Ovis aries: one gene and its partners. Each later gene encodes a partner of the first gene's protein in a complex. Links are inferred from orthologs where the notes say so. Each region holds a gene or a part of one and is shown in the gene's direction. Other genes may lie near its edges.

Region 1 (7,256 bases):
TGAAAATAGCGTTCACCTTGTGGGACATCTCCATCAGAGCTCCTTGGTGACCAGATGCATTGTCAGTGAGCAGAACTACTTTGAAAAGAATCTCTTTTCAAGCAGTAGGTCTCAGCTGGGCTTAAAATATTCAGTAAACCACGTTGTAAAGAGCTGTGTTGCCGTCCAGGCTTTATCACTCCACTTGTAGAGCACGGGCAAAGTGGATTCAGTGTAGTTTGCACAGGCCCTGGGGTTTTAGGGCCGGTCAGTGAGCACTGGTTTTGGCCTGAAGTCACCTGCTAATTGCATTAGCCCCTGACAGCAGGGTCACTTTGAAACCAGGTCTTGACCTCTCCTCTTTGACTGTGAGGTTCTCCATGGTATCTTCTTCCAATCCTTAAACCTCATGAACTGATCTCTGCTAACTTCAAAATTTTCGTCTATAGCTTCCTCGCCTGTCCCAGCCTTGACAGAATTGACAGCAGGTTGGGTCTTGCTTTGGCTTAGGTTTTGGCTTAAGGGAACATTGTGGCTGGTTTGATCTTCTCTCCAGACCACTCAGACTTTCTCCGTATCAGCAATAAGACCATTTGGTTTCCCTGTCATTCATGTGTTCATTGAGTTGTTCAGTCGCTCAGTTGTGTCTGAGTCTTTGTGGCCCTGTGGACTGCAACACGCCAGGCTTTCCTGTTCTTCACCATCTCCCGGAGTTTGCTCAAACTCATGTCCATTGAGCCAGTAATGCCACCCAGCCATCTCATCCTTGTCGTCCCCTGCTCCTCTTGCCCTCTGAGTAGTGCATTTATTTATATGCTTGTTTGTGTTTATTTTGAGGGAGTAGCTCTTAATTTCCTTCAGGAACTGATTCTTTGCTCTCATGACTTGGCTGTTTGATGCATGAGGCCTAACCTCCGGCCTGTCTTATATGAGTCAGCTCTTCGCATCAGGTGGCCAAAGTATTGGAGTTTCAGCTTCAACATCAGTCCCTCCAGTGAACACCCAGGACTGATCTCCTTTAGGATGGACTGGTTGGATCTCCTTGTAGTCCAAGGGACTCTTAAGAGGCTTCTCCAACACCACAGTTCAAAAGCATCAATTCTTTGGCGCTCAGCTTCCTTCACAGTCCAACTCTCACATCCATACATGACTCCTGGAAAAACCATAGCCTTGGCTAGACAGACCTTTGTTGGCAAAGTAACGTCTCTGCTTTCTAATATGCTGTCTAGGTTGGTCATAACTTTCCTTCCAAGGAGTAAACGTCTTTTAATTTCATGGCTGCAGTCACCATCTGCAGCCCAGAAAAATAAAGTCAGCCACTGTTTCCTGTTTCCCCATCTATTTGCCATGAAGTGTTGGGACTGGATGCCATAATCTTAGTTTCCTGAATGTTGAGCTTTAAGCCAACTTTTTCACTCTCCTCTTTCACTCTTATTAAGATGCTCTTTAGTTCTTCACTTTCTGCCATAAGGGTGGTGTCATCTGCATATCTGAGATTATTGATATTTCTCCTGGCAATCTTGATTCCAGCTTGTGCTTCTTCCAGCCCAGCGTTTCTCATGATGTACTCTGCATATAAGTTAAATAAGCAGGGTGACAATATATAGCCTTGACGTACTCTTTTTCCTATTTGGAACCAGTCTGTTGTTCCATGTCTAGTTCTAATTGTTGCTTCCTGACCTGCATATAGGTTTCTCAAGAGGCTGGTCAGGTGGTCTGGTATTCTCATCTCTTGAGGAATTTTCCACAGTTTATTGTGATCCACACAGTCAAAGGCTTTGGCAAAGTCAATAAAGCAGAAATAGATGTTTTTTTTTGAACTCTCTTGCTTTTTGATGAAACTAAGCCATGCTGTGTAGGGCCACCCAAGACGGACGGTCATGGTGGAGAGGTCTGACAGAATGTGGTCCACTGGAGAAGGGAATGGCAAACAGTTTCCGTATTCTTACCTTGAAAACCCCATGAACAGTATGAAAAGGCAAAAGATAGGATACTGAAAGATGAACTCCCCAGGTCAGTAGGTGCCCAATATGCTACTGGAGATCAGTGGAGAAATAATTCCAGAAAGAATGAAGGGATGGAGCCAAAGCAAAAACAACACCCAGTTGTGGATGGGACTGGTGAGAGAAGCAAGGTTCAGCGCTGTAAAGAGCAATATTGCATAGGAACCTGGAATGTCAGGTCCATGAATCAAGGCAAATTGGAAGTGGTCAAACAAGAGATGGCAAGAGTGAATGTCAACATTCTAGGAATCAGCAAACTAAAATGGACTAGAAAGGGTGAATTTAACTCAGATGACCATTATATCTACTACTGTGGGCAAGAATGCCTTAGAAGAAATGGAGTAGCCATCATGGTCAACAAAAGAGTCTGAAGTGCAGTACTTGGATGCAGTCTCAGAAACAACAGAACGATCTCTGTTCGTTTCCAAGGCAAACCATTCAATATCATGGCAATCCAAGTCTGTGCCCCGACCAGCAATGCTGAAGAAGCTGAAGTTGAACAGTTCTGTGAAGATCTACGAGACCTTCTAGAACTAACACCCCAAAAAGACGTCCTTTTCATTACAGGGGACTGGAATGCAAAAGTAGGAAGTCAAGAAACACCTGGAGTAACAGGCAAATTTGGACTTGGTGTACAGAATGAAGCAGCGCAAAGGCTTACAGAGTTCTGCCAAGAGAACGTACTGGTCATAGCAAACACCCTCTTCCAACAACACAAGAGAAGACTCTACACGTGGACATCACCAGATGGTCAACACCGAAATCAGACTGATTATATCCTTTGCATCCAAAGATGGAAGAGCAGTTGGTGGTGCCACCCCCCCCCCAAAAAAAAAAGTTACAGTAGAACATCACAGATCACCATAACAGATATTATTATATCTTGTTATATTTTGTTATCACAGTGAAAAGGCTTGAAAATCATCAGAAATGACCCAGGTGTGACACAGACACTGGACAGATGCTGTTGGACAGATGGTGCCAGCAGACTTGCTCAGTGAAGGGATGCCACAAACCTTCCATCTGCAAGAAGCGCAGTGTCTGTGAAGCACACTGAAGCCATGTAGGCCTGTCCTGCATCTCGTCCGTGCTCAGATGCACGGTCTTTTTGCATTTTAACACCTCTCTAGTCTCATGATTGATGATGTCTTGGATTTGATGAAATACAGTAAATGTGATCTTTTTATTTTACAGCCTCATTCCTTTTTTTTAAAAAAGTTAGTTGAGTTCATTGTGTTGGTTTTGTATATGTATAGTGGGTTGAAGTTTTTTTTTTTTTTTTTACTTGATGTGCTTTTAAAAATTATTTATTCAGTTGTGGTTGCGCTTGGCCTTCGTTGTGGTGCTCGGGCTTCCCGCGGCGGTGGCTTCTCTGAGTGGAGCACGGGCTCGAGGCCTGCAGGCTCAGTAGTTGCGCACAGGCTTATTTGCCCTGCAGCATGTGGGGTACTCCTGGACCAGGGATTGAACCCTTGGGCCCTGCACTGGCAGGTGGATTTCTTCACCACTGTGCCATTAGGGAAGTCCCTTATTCCTTTCTTGACCATCTGGTTAGTGGCCTAGTAGTAAGAGCTTTTGCTTGACTCTGGACAGTTTCATTCCATCCAGCTTTGGAGCAGAGGTCTTCCTATATCTGATTACTGGGCGCAGGGGAATGGGCTGGGGAGGAGCGTGGAACATAGGTGCTGAAAGAATGAGGCAGAGCATGGTGCTTCCAAAGAATGTGCTTCTGAACCCAGTCCCCTGCACTGGCACTGAACCCAGGGCATGTAAAGTGGATTCACACACAGACGTGAACTTCGCTCTCTGTTTTGCCAGAAGATTCTGGAAGCAAGCACACCTTTCTGTGCAAGTCCAGGCCAGCTTCCACCCTGCGCTTTTTTCACTAGTGACAAAAGGCGTGGTTGAGATGAGTTTGCTCCCAGTTCTGTATCCCAGATCTGCACAGCCTGGGCCAGTAGTCACTACCCACGTGTGGCTGCTAAGTTCTTGAAAGGTCGCCAACAGTCCTAATTGAGGTTGGGGTGTGCAGTGAGCACCAAACGCGTAGCGGATTTCCAAGATCTAGTGTCCCCCAAAGGCAAAATATCTGTTCATATGTTTATGTTGATTGCATTTTGTAATATTTTGACTGTACTGAGTTCATCATAATATATTATTAATTTCATTTCTCTTTATTTTTTTTTTTAACACAGCTACTCAAAAACTTTGCCTTGCGTTCTATTTCTTTTGGACAGGCATAAAGGTTTATAGCTTCCCTGGTGTCTTAGTGGTAAAAAAAAAAATCCATCTGCCAGTGTAGCAGTTGTGGGTTCAGTCCCTGGGTCGGGAAGGTCCCCTGGAGAAGAAAATGGCACCCCACTCCAGTATTCTTGCCATGGACAGAGGACCCTGGCGGGCTACAGTCCATGGGGTCACAAAGACTTGGATACCACTTAGTGACTAAGTAACAACAATAACAAAGTTTTATAGAGGAAAGCACTTAGCTGAAGCAGAGTAAATTCTTGAGGGTTCCGCAACAGTCCCCAGTACTCTGAGGCTAGGCTTCTCTCAAGCTTATGTTTTCTCTTTAAACAAGCAGCTGGCTGGCCTGAGGAGGAAGGACAAGAATCACAGCCTCATGCTCTTCCTCCCACACAGTTTGGGCTCTGCCCAGGTTGCCACTGTCTTCATCCCCCTGCCTGACTTTCGTGAAAACAGAGGGCAGCATTCAGAACTGGGAACGCTTCCCTTGGAGACATCCAACGTGGCCCTGTTGGCTCCTGCGTCCAGATGGTCCCTGGGGAGCCGGCGTCTCTGGTGTCAGGGCCTTGTCCTCGGTCCAGCTGCCCTTTACCGTGTCTGTTCTGGTCCAGACACCTCCTTGTCTAAACCATGTTTGCGGCGTGGAGTCACGCAGACCTGGAGTGGCTCCAGCTCCGCCACTGCCTGGGGGGGCCTTGGGCAGGTGGACCTGGGGTCTGAGATTTATTCCTCACAGGCACATGGAGAGTCTTAGGTAGTGAGAAGCTAGGAATGATCTCTCCTGATGCACGGCGCATTGTGGGAACACAAATCAGCTTCCATCCTTGTGGTGGGCTTGTCAGTCGAGACGAGGGAAAACAAGAGGCCTCCAGCAAGCTGTAACGTGAGCGTTCTCTCCCTACAGGGAAGTCCCACCTGGCCATCGTGCAGAAGGTGAACAACGAGGGCGAAGGTGACCCCTTCTACGAGGTGCTGGGGCTGGTCACCCTGGAGGATGTCATCGAGGAGATCATCAGGTCCGAGATCCTGGACGAGTCTGAAGACTACCGTGAGTCCGGGCTCCTGTGTGCTTCCAGCTCATCTGGTCTCGAGTTTACGGAGACGTGTATATCAGAGGCTGGAGGTGCCCATGTTGTTCGAAGTGGGGCTGGATCTCGGGGCAGAGCTGTCACGTCCCCAGGCCCATGTCCTTACCCCTGCGGGGGCTGGAATTGCCTCTCACTGGAGATGGGGCTCACCTGTGGCTGGACCGTCCCTTTGGTGGCTTTGCAGTCCCGGCACTGGACTAGGCTCTGGCCTGAATGGGCGCTGCCCAGTCTTCCTCTTCCTTGGCCTCTTGTCCTGTGGTGCATTGTAGAAGTTCTGAAAGAACCCCCTGCTTTACTGCCGAGAGGTTCTTCCCCGACCAGATGATCCTGGGGCCTGTGGTTGTGTCTTAGGAGGGCCTGCCTCTCAGGTGGCTGCAGTCTGCAGGGCAAACACAGCCCATGCTTGGTGGGGACTCACAGGGGCCCCAGAAAGCTAGCTGCCCACCCCTATGAGTTTGCACGTGAATCTCTTTGCCCGGGTGCCTGTTCCCCAAATGCGACGTCGTTCGGCTCCTCAGACAGCCGTAGGCATGGGGTCTGCAGATGAGCGGCTGTTTGGCACGAGTGGTGCTCATACTCACGCTTCCTGGAGGGGCTGCTGTTCTATGTAAGCTTTTTGCTGTTAGTCTGCATCATATGTTCCCAGCTCCAAGGAGGGGAGCAGGCCTTTCTGCTACTTCTCAGGCCGTCCCTGGAATGCAGGCCACTGCCCCCCTGACGCGGGTACCGGATCATTGCCTGGTGGGGGTGGCAAGGCAGGTTCCGGCAAAGCAGCGGTGCCCAGGACAGGGCCTGGGGTCCTGACGCTGTTCCCCCAGGAGCCCCAAGGCCTTGGAGGCGGGAGCGGCAGCAAACCCCTCAGTCCGGTCGTGTTGGTGGAGGGCTCCTGGCGCCTCAGCAGGCCCTCTTCACCCCACCCCAGGAGACACCATAGTGAAGAAGAAGCCTGTGTCTCTGAACGCCCCTCTCAGGCAGAAAGAGGAGTTCTCCTTGTTCAAGGTGTCTGACGACGACTGTAAAGTGAAAATCTCGCCTCAGCTGCTCTTGGCCACCCAGCGCTTCCTGTCCCGAGGTGAGAGGTGGGGTGGGCCCCGTCCCGGCTCTCCGGCTCACCCCACCGCCCCTGCCGTTCCTGGCGCTCCTCTCTTCTGCCCCGTCAGTATCTCGGTTCACCGGAGGGTGGCTGTCCTCTGCCAGCAACAGAAAGCCGCGTCCGGTGGGTGTCGGGGAGGCTGGGGGAGCCGAGACGGGCAGTGGTGTGCTGACATGGGCTGTGCTGGGCCCAGAGGACGGTGTCCCCATCCCTTTTTCCCACTGTGGGGCAGAGGTGGACGTCTTCAGCCCGCTGCGGGTCTCTGAGAAGGTCCTTCTGCACTTGCTGAAGCATCCCAGTGTCAACCAGGAGGTACGGTTTGATGAGAGCGACCGCCTGGCTGCCCACCACTACCTGTACCAGCGCAGCCGGCCAGTGGACTACTTCATCCTCATCCTGCAGGTACTTGCCAGCCGGCCTGCAGCCCACCGCTTGCCCAGGGTGTGGGGAGGGTGTAGGGAGAGGAATGCCCGGGTGCATGCCCCCTGGATAGGGGGGTCTGTGCTCTCTCCTCCTGCTCTTTGCTGGCAGGAAAGGTGACCTGTCCACCCCTCTCCCTGTCCTCTTTTCCTCCCTCTCTCCCCGCACCTCCAGGGCAGGGTGGAGGTGGAGATCGGTAAGGAGGGCTTGAAGTTCGAGAATGGGGCCTTCACCTACTATGGGGTTTCTGCCCTGACAGCGCCATCCTCAGGTAAGCTGGGTACTCCTCTTGGCGCTGGAGGCGGGGTTGGGTGGGCACTGCAGGGTGGTCTGCCTGGGGACCTGCTGGCCCTTAGCGCCTCCTGGCTGTGTGGAGGGGAGGGCAGGGTTTCCTCAGGCCTTGCCTTTGCTGTTCTTACCCCTGCCAAA
Region 2 (7,747 bases), on another chromosome or scaffold:
GGGACATGAAGATCATGGACCATGCAGGACCATGCAGATCGGACCAGGGTTCGATCCCTGGTCAGGGAACTAAGATCCCACACGCTGTGCGACACAGCCAAATAAACAAACAAAACCCCCAAGAAGCGCTTTTTTTTCTTTGCTCATGTTTGACGCTGGGGCCTGAAGACGATTCTGGAAGGAGAGTCCTAAGAACATGTACTGAGCACCTGGTCAGTGCCAGGAGCAGCCAAGCCGGCATCCAGCCTCATCTTCAGAGATGGAGCTGTCCCTCTGACCCCATCACAAATGAGGGGACAGAGGCAGGAAGAGGTTAAGACCTGTGGTCTGTCTACTGGTGGGGGGCCTGCCCACTGACCACAGCTGGCTGCTGGCCCCTCCTCAGGGCCCTGCCTCCTCTGGGGCTGGGCCTGCTGGGCTGGAGGCTGCTTTCTGGAAATCCACTTAGCACTGACCTCATCTTTGTCCTCCTTGGAGCTAATCTGCTAATCCTGTAGCCCCGGAGGGCCCTCTCCCGTCCTAACCCAGTTCCCCTTCAGGTCCTCTGCCCCAGCTGGCAGCCGTGCTGGTGGTGGGGGGAGGGCAGGTCCAGTGATTGAGGGTAGGTAGTGTGAGACCCTCAATCCCAGGGAGGATTTGGGCATTAGGAGTTCAGGCTGAGATTTCAACTCTGCCTCTCCGTCACTCACCTGCCACCTCTGTGGCCCTGTTCCCATGTAAAGGAGGTCAGTTCTGAGCCAACCCTCCTTACTGCGAAGTTGCCTGTGAATCAAGTTCAGCTCTGTCTCCCTTCTAGCCTCACCCATTCAACTCACAGTAGTGGTGCCAGCTCTGGCTTCCCCAGGGCTGAGCTTGAATCTCGGCTCTGCCTTTTTTTTTTTTGGCCATATCACGAAGCCAGGATTGAACCCTGGCTCTGACAGTGAAAGGGCCGAGTCCTGGCCACTGGGTGGTGGTGGTTTGGTCGCTTTGTCATGTCTGACTCTTGCGACCCCATGGACTGTAGCCCACCAGGCTCTTCTGTCTGTGAGATTCTCCAGGCAAGGATGCTGGAGTGGGTTGCCATTTCCTCCTCCAGGGGATCTTCCCCACCCAGGGCTTGAACCCGGGTCTCCTGCACTGCAGGCAGATTCTTTACTGACTGAGCTACCAGGGAAGCCCCCGACTACTGGACCTCCAGGGAATTCCCACAGCTCTGCCTTACTGAGCTTCAACTTCCTCACCTGCAGAATGAGGGTGGCGGTCCCTCTGCTGCAGGGTGAGGTGCGGGCTTGGCGGGACAGACGGCATAAGTGCCTTGCAAGAGGCCGGTGTTCAGCGAACATCTGGGGAGTTGAACTCTGGGATCCTCCTCCTCAGGGTCCCACACTGATGCCAGGGACATGGAAGTGAGAGAGACCCCAGCCTGGGAGCCCACAAAGGACACCATACCCAGGGCTCCACACAAAGGGCACTGGGGACAACCCCCGCCCTGAGACTTGGGACAGGAGAGGGGGAAGTGTATGAAACCTGCAGGATGCAGGTGCTCTCGTGAGGTCAAGATAAACATCAAAAGGAAAATCAATAGTTGAAATGGACCCTAAAGTCCCACAGTGCTATGGGAAATGGGCTGCCTTAGTGGGTGGCCAGCTGTCACTGCAGTGGAGGGCTCCCAGGACTTCCCAGCTGGAATACAGCCAGATGTTGCCTCTCCTGACAACATGGTCTTCCCGCTGTTCCCTGCCTGAAGGCACCACGGACAGGGAGCCCCAACTCTGCGGTTCTTATGGCAGGCCTAGACCAGCTTCTCCGGGGGACTTTCTGGCAGAGCTTGAGGCACTGTGGGGCTGAGTGAAGGGGACGTCAGCAGAGACTGAGTTCTCAGAGGAGACAACAGCTGAGAGGGACCACATGCGAAAGACAGCACCCCAGGGATGCTCTGGGGCCAAGACTTCCCAGGCAGAAAGAACAGCAAGTGCAAGGGCCCTGCGGTGGGCGGACCCTGCCCTGTGGGAGGAGCTGCACGCAGGTGTCAGGCTGTGGCAGTGATGGGGGCGGGGCGGGAGGCTAGAGGAGGGAGGCTGTGCCGGGTCAGGTGGCCCGGGCGCCGCCCTGCAGGACTCTGCAGAGAAAGATGGGCGCTCACTCTTGCCTTTCTGGGGGCCTGGGGTCCAGGTGTTGTTGTGGGTGGGTGGGTGGGTGGTAGGAGGGCATCTTCTTGGGGAATGGAGGCAGCACCAGGGTCTGCGAGGAGAGGCTGGGCATTTGACTGGGCTGCGTGTCCATGGACTGGTGTGGGGGACACGGTGGAGAGAGTGTGAGGTCCAGAGGAGACCTCCAGCCCGGTTCCACGCCCACCTCTCCTTCCCTTCTCTGTGCTGGGTCTCCTCCGTTAGTCACAACTGCTGGAGCCGTGAGCTCCAGGAAGGAAGGGCTGATCCAGAAGGGGACCTCCCACCAGTCCCCCAGGGGGCACCTTAAGATCTCCTGGGGGTCCCAGCCCGCTGCATGCATTAGGGGCAGTCTGGAGGCCTCAAGCCCCGGTCTGACCCCAAGCCTCGGGCGGGGTGACTGCTTTTCCGTGCCCCGTCTTCGCGGCAACCGGCCTGTGAGCGTGGGGCTCAGCCCCAAATGACACAGGGGAAAGTCCAGGACTCCAGAAGTTTCCTGAAAGCCTGGGACGCCGGACTCCATCTCTCGGCCTCGGCTTCACCTCGGGGTCGAGTCTACCCCGGTCCCCTAACCGCCCCGCCGTCCTGCCGCAGCCGGCTTGCTAGGGAGACCGGACAGCGCTCAAAGCCCACGGCCACGCCCCTTCTCTCCCGGGCGGGGCTCTGGGGCCCGCGCCCGCGCGCCCGCGGGTGCCCCCGGGTGGGGAGCGCTCCCATTGGGCCGCGCCGCCCACGTGACCCGGCGGGCAGGGCCTCGCGCGCCCGGAGCGGGGCCGCGCCTGCGCGCGCCGGAGGCTCGTGCACGCGCACGCGCGCCCCGAGCCCTCCGCCCGTGGAGCCGGCGCCCGGACCGCCAGGTCAGTCTCCTCGCGCCCGCCCGGGCGGGGGCGCGCGCGGTGCGGGCGCGCGGCGGGGCGCGCGGGCCGAGGGCGGGCCGCTTCCTGGGGGGCCGGGACCCCAGCGCCCCGCGGCCTCGGCGGCGCGAGTGAGGGCCCGGCGTCTGCCACGTGCAGCTCTCAGCCCGGGGTGGGGTGGGGGGCCGGCTCGGGGCGCCGCCCGCTGCTTCCCCTCCGTGGCGGGCGGTGGACGCCTGGCTGGGAGGCTTGGTCCCTGCTCCCGATCCCGGGGGCGGAAGACCCTCATCCAGAGTCCCTGTGCCCCAAGCAGCGCCGGGGATCGCGTGCCGCCCCCCAACCCCCTGTCAGTTTGCTCCTCCGCACAGTTTGGGGGCACTTGGTCTCTAGCGCCCCTGCCCGCCACGAACCCCACGGGGCTTCCCGGCCCCGCGGTTGGCGCCCAGGTTGAGCTCCAGGTGCTGGGGACCCGTGCGAGCCCCGGCTCTCAGACCGCATGGGCGCTGGTAGCCTGGCAGCGGTTCATCTGTCCAGTCAGTACCCCAGCTTAGAGCAGGTCCCAGCCTTGGCCAGGCGGCTCGGGGGCACGCTCCTGTGTTCTCCAGGGCAGCTAGCTGGTGGCCGGTGGAGTTGGGGTGGGTGGCATGTCAGCTCCATGACCGCAGAGCAGCTATCGCCCTGGGCCTGGCCTTACCCAGGTGGGGTGTGGTGACCCCACAGGCCGGACCCTGATCACGGGTCTGAGGGTGAGTGGGGTCCAGGCCAGAGGTCACAGTGTGCTGGGCATTCTGGCCCTGGGCAGCGGGCAGGCACTGTGCCTCCCCTCCTGGCTGGTGGGCTCTGTGGTCAGCCCAGCAGGTGGTGGTGAGTAGTGCCTGGGAGGTTAGCATCAGTGGAGTGTAGACTCCAGTGGGTCCTTGGTCCCAGGCTGCAGCCGTGTAGGGCTGTGGACTAGAGGGCGGTCAATGGACACAGGGTGCCTGTGGCCTTGCCTGGATGGGGACCCCACCTCTGCAGCTCTGTGTGGGCGCCTTGCCTCAGTGACCTCCTCAGATCTGTCCATGAGGTTATTAACTCTGCTTCTCAGATGAGGAAATAAAGGCCCAGAGAGGTAGAGTCATGTCCAGCCCCTCCCCAGGGCCTTTGTTTTCCCCCTTGTGAAGTGGATGCTGGTGGCCCTACCTGACAGGCTGCTGGGCAGAGTAAAGGGGGCCGGAGGTGGGCTTGGGGGTCTCTCCACAGCCACCCAGGCCTCCCTCACTGCAGGTATTCAAGAAGAGAGAATGCCCCCCACTATCCCCTCGGGGAGCTGGCCTCCACCAACAGCCCCGCAGTGCTTGCCACGCAGTCTGTGCCAGGCGCCGTGCTGGACTGAGGGGTGGCTGATGGTGCGCTGGTCTGTTGTCTGAGTGATGGTCCTTGGTGGAGCCACAAGGTGGCGTTCCCGTCTCACAGAGTCACCAACACTTGAGCGCCTACTGTGTGCTGGGCCTTGATAAGCTGTTATCAGGGCAGACCTGGCCCTGGCCCCGTGGAGCTGGCAGTCAGGTGGCAGTGCCCATGCCTGCAGGTGGCAACAGTGCCAGGAAGAAGTGGAGCTGGGCTGGGGGCTGGTGAGGGGCAGAGGGCAGCCTTAGGAGGGGCTGGCGTGGCTGTCCTGTCTTGGGCATGGTGGACCACCAAGGCCGCCTCAGGTCCCCCGCCTCACCATACGCTTCTCTCACTTGGGAGAGTGATACCAAGTGGCCGATGAGGCTGTGTATGCCCACGACGCACATGTCCAGGGGCCACGCTGCAGGCACTGAGGACCAGGGTACACATGTGGCCCTGCTCTCACGCACACGATCTTCAGGGCTGGGTGTTTGGGCGGCTGGTGGGGTGTGCTGCTGGGCTGGCTGGAGGGCGCAGGGCTTGGCCTGCTGTTTTCCCTCCATCCTGTTGTTTTCCTGGCCAGGACTCCAGGCCCGGGGGCCCTCTGAAGGCTGGAGGCTGTGAGGGCAGGTCCATTTCTCTGGAACAAGACTCTGTTCACGTCCCCAGGGCCAGAGCGTCTCCTGTCGCTGGGAGCCTGGGCGGCAGGGGTGGTGGCTCCCTTCCAGGTAATGAAGTCGAGCCTCGGAGAAGGTGGTTACTGGGGTGTGTCAGTGCCCACTGAGTGCCAGGCCCCTTCCGTCTGTCCTGGTCTGTCCCCCAGCAACGGGAAGTCGTCGTCCGCCTGCCCTACAGTGAGAGGCCAAAGTTCACTGAGCCTCTTCACTTCCCGAGGTCACAGGGGACCCAGGCAGTGGTGGTGCAGGAAGGGGAGCCCCTCTGTCCAACGCCACTTCTGACCTGGTGCTGCGAGTCCCCCTGGGTGGCTGGAAAGAGTTCCTGTTGGGAATCTGGAAGGGCCGCCCAGGCCAGGGGTGGGGGGAAGCCACGGCCAGGCCCAGGACTTGTTACAGTGACCCCCCTGTGGCCTAGTGGCCCTGGTCTGGCCTGGCTTGGGGTCTGGCCCCTCGCTGGCCTCTGTTAGGAGTGTGAGTCCCCTGCCAGCCCTCACAAGGCAGGTGGTGTGTACACTGGACGTGAGCACCAAGCCGCAGTGCCAGAGGCCTCGGCGGGCAGGGAGGCGGCTCAAGCCTTGCAGAGACCAGAGAACTCGTTTCTAGAAGGTGGTGTTCCTCCAGGATGACTGGCCGGGGGTTCTGCTGTTCTCGGCCATTGCAGCCTCCGGGAGGCACATCAGGAGGAGCTCGTCCAGTGGTCAGACCTGAGCCCCACGTGGCTCCTCCCCCTGTCTCCCCTTCTCAGGCCTCTGAGCCACGAACCCACTCTCTCTCCTGGGTCTTCCCGGCCACCGCCTTTATTGTGCACTTACTGTGTGCCTGCCCAGACCTTGGCTGAGTCCTGGATGAATCCAGGGGTGGATGTCATTGCCCTGGGTTTCCATCCTGCACCCGCAAATGAGGGGCCAAGATCAGATCTGAGGTTGTCAAGGGGGGTGGCGCCCCCAGAAGCTTGGTGCTCTGTGTGTGCACCCCCACGTCCCCCAGGCAGGAAGCAGCATGGCAGACGCGGGTAGGTGGAAGGTTGGGGCTGCCTTGTGCCCTGGTTCCATTTCCTGACTCAGATTCTGAGGGAAGGGGCGGCGGGAGCTATGGAGTGTTCTAGAGCAGGGTGGTGGGGTGGTCTCTGGTGCAAGGCGGGGCGCTGATGTGCTGGAACGGGGCTCAGCCAGGAGGTCAATGCACGAGGTTGTGGGTCTCCCCGGCACCCAGGCCTGCCTGCCTGGAGCCCTCCTTGGTTGATAACAAGTCATTAACTGTCTGGCTCTAAGCCAACTTTTCTCCTCTGGGGTCTCAGTTCCCCTCCTGTGGAAGGGGGGCTCTGACCCGCTGTCACCAGCTCTTCCATCCCCCTAGCCCCTCCTGGGAGCGGCCTGAGCCTGTTCCCATGGCCTCACTCGCCGCACAGACCCCGAAGCCGGGGCTGGCCCAGCTGGAGGAGGCGGGCGGCCCTGCCCTGTCCCCTTCCCGTGGGACTGGTGCTCCCGGCCGCTCTCCGGGCCCCGGGGCCCTCCTGTGACTCAGGCTTCCTGGAAGAGGCGTGGGAGGGCCAGAAGGATTCCCCGCCACCCCACCCGGAGCTCCGCGGCGGCCCCCTGCAGCGGGTTACCTGCTGCCGGCCCTGCGCCTGCACCCAGCCGTGCGCCTTTCTGCTGTGCCCGCTGGCCTCCCTGGGTATCGTCTGCTGAAGCTAGGGTGGCCCTCCTCCTCCTTTGCCTAGCCCAGGCCCTGCCAAGCCAAACATTCCCTCCGCTTTCATCTCCCTACGGGGTCAGCTGCTGGGCCTTCTCCTGGCCTTCACTTCTCTCTGGCTGGCTGCCCACCAGCGCATCTGCTGGGAATTGCCACGAGGAGCTCAGGGGGTGCCCGAGGGTGCCTGGGACTTCCCGCCAAGACCTTGCTGTCCCCTCCACATGGCCCTAGGGAGCCCAGAGCCATGGCCCCAGCTCTGCCAGGCTTCTGGGTGACCCTGGGCCAGCCTCTGCCTTTCCTGGGCCTCAATTTTCTTGTCTAGAGAATGGGGAGCTCGGAGTAGACCCTGGACCCCACCGCAGACTGGATGGGGGTCAAGACAAAGCTGGTGGCCTTGGCGGTTTAGCTGGAGCCACCTGAGCCAAACGACCCACTTGCAACCGTGCGTCTGCCCCATGTGACCGCCTGGCAGACTAGCCCTTTAAGTCTCCAAGGCTGCGACCTCGGAAGGGGCCGTCTGGGGGGCCTCCGTTCGCCTGTCAAGTTGTGCTCTTGGGCCTGACCCTGTGCAGGGCATGGGCAGAGAGGGCCTGGGGCCCTACCTTGACGGTACTGCCCACCCCAGGAGCTCACATCGGGGGTGGATGGAGCATCACCTCAACCGTGCTCCGTGTTAGTGTTCAGCACAGACTTGGTGGTGCTCCTCATGATGGGGCTCCTCATGAAAATTCAGACCAGCCCAGGAGGTTCATAACTGCTCCGAGCACTGGGCTGCTGGGCCTGTGCTGGATTACATAGGAACAGGCTGCTAAATAATGTGCAGTTATTCACTTGAATCTCCCTCGCCGCTGACTGCGGGCCTCTCTCCTGGTGGCACCCGGGGGCCAGGATGGACCCTTTTATGAATCAGCACCCCCGTGATAGACTCCTCTCTTCAGGTGCGCCCCTCTTGCCTTGTCACCACCAGCTTGGCTGCTGTGTAGTGGGGTAGGGGGCGCAGGCT
Region 3 (7,969 bases), on another chromosome or scaffold:
CCCTTGGTAGTGAAAGTGTGGAGTCCTAACCGCTGGACTGCCAGGGAATTCCGTCCAATTCCTTTGAAAATGAGGATGACAACCACTTCCTCACAGGGTTATTTTGAAGAGTAAACTTGATAATATATTTTAAAACACCTTCTGCAGGCTTAGAATAGAGTAGATGCTTAATAAATAGTACCTGTTATGATGGCTATTAATATCTTTGTTATTATATTATTACCTGACATTTTAGGGCTGGACTGAGAGCTGGACAGGGGGAAGATTCATTCGTTTACTCAACAGTCTGCTACACTGCCTCAAGTAACAGTCTAAATATGGGAGAACATGAAAATAGGCATTTATAATACAAGTGATACAGGCTATGATAGGGGATTGCACAGGTGTTTTGGGACTTCAGCAGAAGAATCAATAACCAGGAGACTCAACAAAATTTTTGCAGAGCAGGTAGTTCTCTGTTTCAAACCTGTGCTTTGAGGAAGTAGAAAATGCTGTCTGCTGGAGCCAGGTAGAATGTGAGAGCTGAGCCTGTGTTCTTCACTAAAAGGGCCTGGATTCTGATCTGCAGCCCCTCTTGCTTCAAGGCCTCTCAGCTCCCACACAGCCCACCAGCCAGCTTTGGCCTGGAATACCTATCTCCTTCCTTGGTAGCTCAGACGATAAAACGTCTGCCTACAATGCAGGAGACCTGGGTCGGGAAGATCCCCTGGAGAAGGAAATGGCAACCCACTCCAGTATTCTTGCCTGGAAAATCCCATGGACAGAGGAGCCTGGTGGGCTACAGTCCATGAGGTTGGGTAGCAAAGAGTCAGACACGACTGAGTGACTTCACTTTCACTTTCATTTTCCTGGGCCACCTACTGTTGGTGAACATCCTGGGACCTGTGCTGTGGTGTGAGGTGGCTGAGTCATAAAACCTTTCCTTTTACTGCTAAACTGTAATGAACACCTTCTTGTCAACAGCAAAGCCCCAGGTCGACTTTGTGGGGAAGGTGTACTGACCATTGCTTCTCCTCACAGGGCCAAGTGAATATGTGTGTTGGGGTGAGGAGGTGGGGAGAGGCAGCCCAAGGGGCAGGAGTACCTTCTAGATAGGTGTCTGACTGACTCACAAGCTGGAATCAAGATTGCCAGGAGAAACATGGGCTTCCCTGGTTGCTCAGTGGTAAAGAGTCTGCCTGCAATGTGGGAGACACAGGTTCAATCCCTGGGTCCGGAAGTTCCCCTGGAGAAGGAACTAGCAACCCACTCCAGTATTCTTGCCTGGGAAATCCTATGGATAGAGGAGCCTGATGGGCTACAGACCATGGGGTCACAAAGAGTTGGACATGATTGAGTGACTAACACTTGCTTGTTATGGGAGAAATATCAACAACCTCAGATATGCAGATGATACCACTCTAATGGCAGAAAGCAAAGAGGAACTAAAGAGCCTCTTGATGAGGGTGAAAGAGGACAGTGAAAAAGCTGGCTTAAAACTCAACATTTCAAAAACTAAGATCATGGCATCCAGTCCCATCACTTCATGGCAAATAGATGGGGAAAAAAGTGAAAAACAGTGACATTTTCTTGGTCTCCAAAATCACTGAGGACAGTGACTGCAGCCACGAAATTAAAAGATGCTTGCTCTTTAGAAGAAAAGCTATGACAAACTGGCACAGCATTTTAAAAAGCAGAGACATCTCTTTGCCAACAAGGGTCCACATAGTCAATGCTATTGTTTTTCCAGTACAGATGTGAGAACTGGACCATAAAGAAGGCTGACCACCAAAGAATGCTTTGAAACTATGGTGCTGGAAAAGAGTCTTAAGAGTCCGTTTGACTGCAAGGTGATCAAACCAGCCAATCCTAAAGGAAATCGACCCTGAATATTCATTGGAAGGACAGGTGGTGAAGCTGAAGCTCCAATACTTTGGCCACCTGATGTGAAGAGGGGATTCATTGGAAAAGACCCTGATGCTAGGAAAGACTGAAGACAAAAGGAGACGGGGACCACAGAGGATGAGATAGTTGGGAGGGCATCACTGACTCAATGGACATGAGTTTGAGCAAACTCATGGGAGATGGTGAAGGACAGGGAAGCCTGGCGTATTGCATTTCATGGGATTGCAAAGAGTAGGCCACTACTTAGCATCCGAATGACAATTCTGAGATGAGGCTTCCCAGGGTGAAGGAGGAGGACAGAGCCCCTTGCCCCTTTTCTCCAGCTCTCAAGGGTAAGCCTCCAGTGCTTCTTTCCTGCTGCCATCTGGCAATGACCCAGACCAATCTCCCAAGTCACTGGTGACCACATCTTCCAAACCAAAACTCCTAATTCATGGTCCGACAAAGAATTTCTGCCCACCTTCTAAACGCAAGAGAGAATACTGAGAGCTCTAGAATAATCCCTGTCTTTAAATTCAGGGTCTCCTCTTTATCACGCATTTTTCATACATAATGAAAAGAGCCCCAGGGGGTAGCTGATAATCATTTTCATTTAATAGTTGAAAATACGAAGATAGGAAATAACTTGCCCAAGATGCTATCTCCCGGAAGTTTGAATTTTGATCTCCTACTCGGATTCCTAGGTTTGCGCGCGCGCGTGTCTGTGTCGCGGGCGGGGAGTGAGGGTAGTAGCACGCAGAAATATCCTGAGCAATTGCAGACGCACACGCCATTTATTTGGGGCCTCAAGAAAGGGCAGCCAAGAACTAAGCTGCCCCGGTTCTCACTTCTGGGTTGGAAATCCCCGAGCAAAGGGCTCGGTCTCCGCCTCGTCCCATCAGGGTCTGGCCTCAGGCCTCACGGCCCGGTCACGGGAAAACACCCTTCGACCTTGAGGGTCACCCTGCGGCCTCCGGCCCTTGCTCAGCCCAGGTGCGGATGGGCGGGCCACGGCGTGGGCGAATGACTCCCCCGGTCAGGTTCTGCCCACCGCCCCCCCGTTCCCTGTCACATGGACGCGCCTTCCGCAGCCAGAAGTGCTGATCGGAACGAACCACGAGGAGGAGCGGGGGAGGTGCCCAGGGCAGTGGGTCAGCGCCCCGCGGGGCAGGTGGGCGGGCCCCACCGCCTCGAGCCGGCCCGCCAGCCAGTCAGCGGGCGCGGAGGGCGGGCCGGCGGGCGCGCGCGCGCGCGCCGCGCCCCGCAGCGCCCCCTGAGGGGCGGCGGCGGGAGCTGGTTCCGGCTGCGCGCGCAGCGGTGGTGGTGGCGGCGGCGCGATCGGCCGGGGCTGTAACCGTCGTCCGTCCGGTAGCGGCTGGAGCGGCAGCGGCGGCCGGTCACGGGGCGAGGCGAGGCCACAGGGCAGTGGCGGCAGCGGGGACAGCGGCAGCAGCCGGAGACGCAGCGGCGGCCGTAGCAGCAGCAGCAGCAGCAAGACGGACTCGTGGACACGCGCCGCCGCCGCCGCCGGGCCGGGCCGGGTGTCGCGCGCCGAGGCTGGGGGGGAGTCGTCGCCGCCACCGCTACCGCCGCCGCCGCCGCCGCCGAGGTGACTGAGGAGAGAGGCGCCTCCTCGCTCCCGCCGCCGCCAGACTTCAATGCCCAGTCCCCAGCTCGCCAGCGTGAGTTGCGCGGCTCCCGGGCGGCCCCCCGCGCCGCCTCCCGGGGGCCTCGGGGCAGGGGAGGGCGGGAGGCGCCGCAGCCATTAGTGCAGGCCCGAGACACGTCCCCGGAAGAAGGGCCGGGCTGGGGCCGGGGGCGGGGGGAGCGCGGCCGGGAAGCGTGGAGAGCGAGGGTGGGTGAGGAGGGGGGGATCGCGCGTGTGGGAGGGGAGAGGAGCGAGTGCTGTGTGCAAGAATGTGGAGTGTGGGGCGGGGGGGGGAATGTGCGTGTGTGAAGGCGAGAGTGTGAGTTGGGGAACAGGGCTGTGTGCATGTGGGGAGAGCGTGGCGAGGGAGAAAGTGCAGATGGGGGAGTTGGGGGGCTGTGTGTGTGTGTGTGTGTGCGCGCGCGCGCTCGCTTGCAGAGGAGAGTGAGGGGAAGTGTGAGTAGGGGGCGGTAGGGGGTACAGTGTCAGGAGGGTGGGAGGTGAGTGTAGGGGAGAGGGAGCGGGGAGCATGTGGGAACGAGTGAGTGGGGGGAGAATGCTTGTGCGTGGGAGAGTGGGGTAAATGGGGAGCGTGAGTAAGTGGGGGAGGGAGAGTTTGCGTGCTAGGGGTAGAGTGATGGGCGGGAGAACGTGAGAGCAGAGTGAGACAGAGCTCGGGGAGAAGGTGAAGGGCAGGCGGATGAGGGAGCGTGGAAGTGTCTGCCTGCGATTGTCCAGTCTGTGAGCAGGCATCCTTGGGGGCCATCCTTGATCGTTTTCTAGGGCCGTAGCGAGCCTGGGTGTCCTGGGTTAGGGAGTTCTTTCCAGGAGCATCTTGTGCTTGGGTCCTTGGGTTCAAGTATGAGCAAAGGGTACAGAAGTCTATGCCAGTGGCAATATCATTTTCTGGCCCTGTGCCTCCTCCTCCCCCCCCCCCAATATTTCAGAACATGGACATCAATTTCCAAATTTGTCGAGCACATGATTGGTTGGCATCCCACCCTAGTCTGGGTTCTGAAAGCTAGCTAAAACAAGTTTGTGTATTGCCTGGGATCCTAGACTCTTGCCTTTTGAGTGTTCAGATAGACTGTTGTAAAGTACTGCTAGTTTTTCAGGTGAGAGGTGTTTTATTGTTAGGTAAATATATAAGAAATGTGTTTTAGGTTTTACCTCCTTGCTACCCTTCTGGAGAGAAGCTTTTAAGAAATAATAGTAATAATTGTGTAGCATGTTGATGATGAAGCTCAATCATAGCATAGTTTATTATTTTCTAGAATTTTTCAAGAAATGTGTAAAATAGCAGTTGTAGCATCATTGTATGCATTCAGCAAATGCTTTTCTGTGTGGAGTCACCAAGTTGTAGCTACTGCTGGATTAAATGTGGTAGTTACTGGCTCCATTGCTCTGTGTTACAGAGTCTTTCAGACAGGAAGTCAGTGAAGTTATGCCTTAGTCCACATGCAAAAGGAAATTAAGGCTTCATCATCACTTGCCAGCGTAATCATTGTGTTGGTGAAGATGGTGAAAAGTTGCTTGCTGGTATTCATTTTAAAAGTAGTCTCATGTTGTATGGTGAATGGACTAATCATTGCCATGGACTTTTCCAGATTCTTGTGTTGTAGAAGGAAGTAGGGGTTCTTGATGAAGAGTGCCTTGATACGGATTTTATACTGAAATGATGAAAAGTCTCTTAGAAGTTGGAAGTGTAGTGTGGTCCTTTTGGTATTCAATGTGATAGAACTACAAGCAAAAGCATTTGTATATAATTAGAAGTCAGAAATTATAAATTTCTTACTGTGTCCTTTTCTTGATCATTAGCATGCTCTCTACTTTGAGAAACAGTGAGTAGTATTGTTATCATTTGGTGGGTGACTGGATTAATTAGTATTAAGTGCCTACTGTGTACCAGGTGCTTTTTATACTCTTGTTCAGTTCTCACAGCTACTATTAAAAGGTGGTAGGTGTTCTCATTTGCATTCATTTGACACATATGGTTTCTATTTGCCAGACTTTAGGGATACAGTGATGAGCCCTCATTGACTTCAGTGATGAAATGAGACAGTATGGAGACTCAAAGAGGTTAATTAACTTGTCCCAGGTCAGAACTTATAATAAGAATGGGAGCTAGATTAAAAACCCAGGTCAGTCTGACTCCATAGTCTTTGATTTTTTCCACTATACCATTAACTTCCCTCACGCTAGGTTGTCTCTCTTTGAAGTTTCTCATCCACACAGTGACCTAGCAGCTTGTGCAGGTAAGAGGTGTTGAGGTTAATGCAAAAGACTGAAGGCTGGAGGCGAGTAGATCTTTAAGGAGATGCTGACTTGAGGCTCTTTGGGGCCTAAGTTAGGATAGGCTTTTATGTGGGTGGAGATTCTGCCTTGGAACTCACTTGGGGCCTTAGGGTGTGTGCTTTGAGACAGAGTTTTTATGAGGCACCTGGGATATGTCTGGGAGAGAAAAGTCTGATTAAAGAAACCCAATAGACTGTTGTGTTTTTTATTTTGGGGGAAAGAAGAAGAGTGTATTAATTGGGTCTAAGAGTCACAGAAGCTGTCTTTTGTAAAAATCTCTCTTTAGCTTTGTGATATATTTACTACAGGAGACTGTGAGATTGTGAAGAAAATATATATGAAAATACTTCATTATTTATAAATTGGACTACAGATTCAAAGTGTTATTATCGCTAAGACTTTACTACTGAGGTAACAGTTTGTTATATTTAGTAGCTGGAAAAGGCTGCTAGCATTTTAGACCACCTTACAAATGAAAAATTGTTTAGAACTGCTGAACCGGGTATATTCTGACTCAGAATAGCAAAAGTCAAACCACTCCCTCTATGAGTCAGGCAAGTAATATTTAATTTGAGCGAACCAAATTTATAGACAGAAACCATTTACAACATCATTGAACTTTGGTGGCACTAGGGAAGAGTAAATGTTTGAATGCTTTTGCACATACTTTTTAAAAAATCTGAAAGCTCCATATTTATGTTTTACTTGAAAAGACCCTGTATGAACAAGGAAAAACATTTATTTTTATTTACTTTGTCTTTAAAGACAGTATTTCTGTATGAAGTAGTTACAGAACATTTTATAGTTTTGAGACACAAAGTTGAAATTTAATGGAGATTTATTTTCGAGGGTTTGACTGTACTTTTGTTGTTGTCGGAATATGGGATTGGTAACCAGTGAGGCCTCTGGAAAAAGCATTTACAAACAAGATGCAGAGGAGCAATACATACATTTTTAGCTGTTGCTCTTGAGTGAAACTTCAGAGGGAAGCCCAAGTTAGGTTGATTTCTTCAAGTGCTGTCGCAACAGCTCTGCTACTTAGAGAAGTTAGTGATCTTTAAAAATTTAAAGCAACTGGAAATCAGGACCCGTAGTTCTAACATACCAGGCTTAGTTATGTTTATTGAATTAGGGTGGTGGCTTGAGATTTTGAGGTCTTGGAATGCTTGTGAAGTCCAGCATGCTTTAGGTTTCAACATAATCGTCTCAAGAATCTTCTTTGTGCTGAATCACAAATCATATCATTTTAAATTCATAATAGCCCTGGGAGTAAGTAATGGCATCCTTCCAATTTTGTAGATGAGAAAATTGGTTTAGAGATCAATTGTTGAATCCTAGTTAAAGAGTATCAGTAAATAGATGGCAGTGGATGAAAAAAAATTTTTCCCCTTGGGGCTTAAAGTACTTAAGTCTCTTTCTAACTCTCCCCCCACCCTCCTCAGTTAACTCCAGTCATTTACATGAGTTGTGTAGGAACTAGTAGAAGTTAAGGAAATTACCTTTTTCTTCGCTTGAAATTTAGTATTTTTTTTTTTTTTTAAGGATACTTCAGTTACTTTTTTTGCTCTTTGGGGCATGTTGTTGCTTTGAGATTTTTCTCAAGATACCAGTTGGATTATGTAGAAACTAATGATTATTCTCTAAGTTTATAAAGCAAGAGTCCTTGATGTTACAATTCATGTAATTTTGTATCTTGGGTTTGTTAAATAAACAGATGCCACCAACTAAAATTACTTGGGAAATGGTGATTTGAATCTGTTACTTTGGAATATTATCCATTTTCAGTTTCAGAACTAGTGTATAGGTAGCGGTGTCTGGTTGCTTTCTCTGGTTAGCCTTCATTTTATTGACTGAAGCACATTCTCTGGCTCCTTTGACTTGGACTTGAAGCCTTACAGGATTGCTTGATACAAGGCTCAAGTGGATATTGTATCAGAAATCTCTCCCTCTTCGGAGTTCTAGAGATTGAGGCTAAACCGGAAACTCTCTACTTAGACGCCTTCACGGGAGAAACTGCGCAGCGCTGCAGGCTCTGTCCACTGTTAGTAGCTCCCCTGCGGAGCTCCTAGAGCCTGTATGAGGGTCTAACCTATCTCCTGCACATGTTGAGGCGGTTTTTCCTGCCCTGTTTGTTCAGTCAGTGTAGATTTACAGTGCATAAAC

What was found. Proteins that work in one complex are often made in the same cells at the same time.
Region 2: the proteins of CNNM3 (region 1) and PTP4A3 are in contact, whole or in part, in a crystal structure (PDB 5TSR), measured with the Homo sapiens proteins. The link is inferred for Ovis aries from reciprocal best matches to the Homo sapiens genes CNNM3 and PTP4A3. Residues at the interface, in NP_060093.3 of Homo sapiens: Ser357, Asn358, Phe394, Asp396, Lys418, Val419, Asn421, Glu424, Gly425, Asp426, Pro427, Phe428, Tyr429; in NP_001425170.1 of Homo sapiens: Asn5, Pro7, Asp72, Gly73, Ala74, Val105, Ala106, Leu108, Gly109, Arg110, Arg137, Arg138, Gly139, Ala140, Ile141, Asn142, Lys144, Gln145.
Region 3: the proteins of CNNM3 (region 1) and PTP4A2 are in contact, whole or in part, in a crystal structure (PDB 5K25), measured with the Homo sapiens proteins. The link is inferred for Ovis aries from reciprocal best matches to the Homo sapiens genes CNNM3 and PTP4A2. Residues at the interface, in NP_060093.3 of Homo sapiens: Leu390, His391, Phe392, Val393, Phe394, Asp396, Thr397, Glu405, Ala414, Gln417, Val419, Glu424, Gly425, Asp426, Pro427, Phe428, Tyr429; in NP_001356788.1 of Homo sapiens: Met1, Asn2, Arg3, Pro4, Asp69, Gly70, Cys101, Ala103, Leu105, Gly106, Arg107, Arg134, Arg135, Gly136, Ala137, Phe138, Asn139, Lys141, Gln142.

Annotation. Positions count from the first base shown.
Region 1 is NC_056056.1:103,695,881-103,703,136, reverse strand, and holds part of CNNM3 (metal transporter CNNM3), read left to right. Parts: intron 1-5,130; coding exon 5,131-5,274; intron 5,275-6,236; coding exon 6,237-6,386; intron 6,387-6,639; coding exon 6,640-6,809; intron 6,810-7,001; coding exon 7,002-7,098; intron 7,099-7,256. UniProt on the Homo sapiens protein: Probable metal transporter.
Region 2 is NC_056062.1:15,514,672-15,522,418, reverse strand, and holds the start of PTP4A3 (protein tyrosine phosphatase type IVA 3), read left to right. Parts: upstream 1-2,931; 5' UTR 2,932-3,007; intron 3,008-7,747. UniProt on the Homo sapiens protein: Protein tyrosine phosphatase which stimulates progression from G1 into S phase during mitosis. Enhances cell proliferation, cell motility and invasive activity, and promotes cancer metastasis.
Region 3 is NC_056055.1:235,538,520-235,546,488, forward strand, and holds the start of PTP4A2 (protein tyrosine phosphatase type IVA 2), read left to right. Parts: upstream 1-3,153; 5' UTR 3,154-3,545; intron 3,546-4,553; exon of another isoform or gene 4,554-7,969.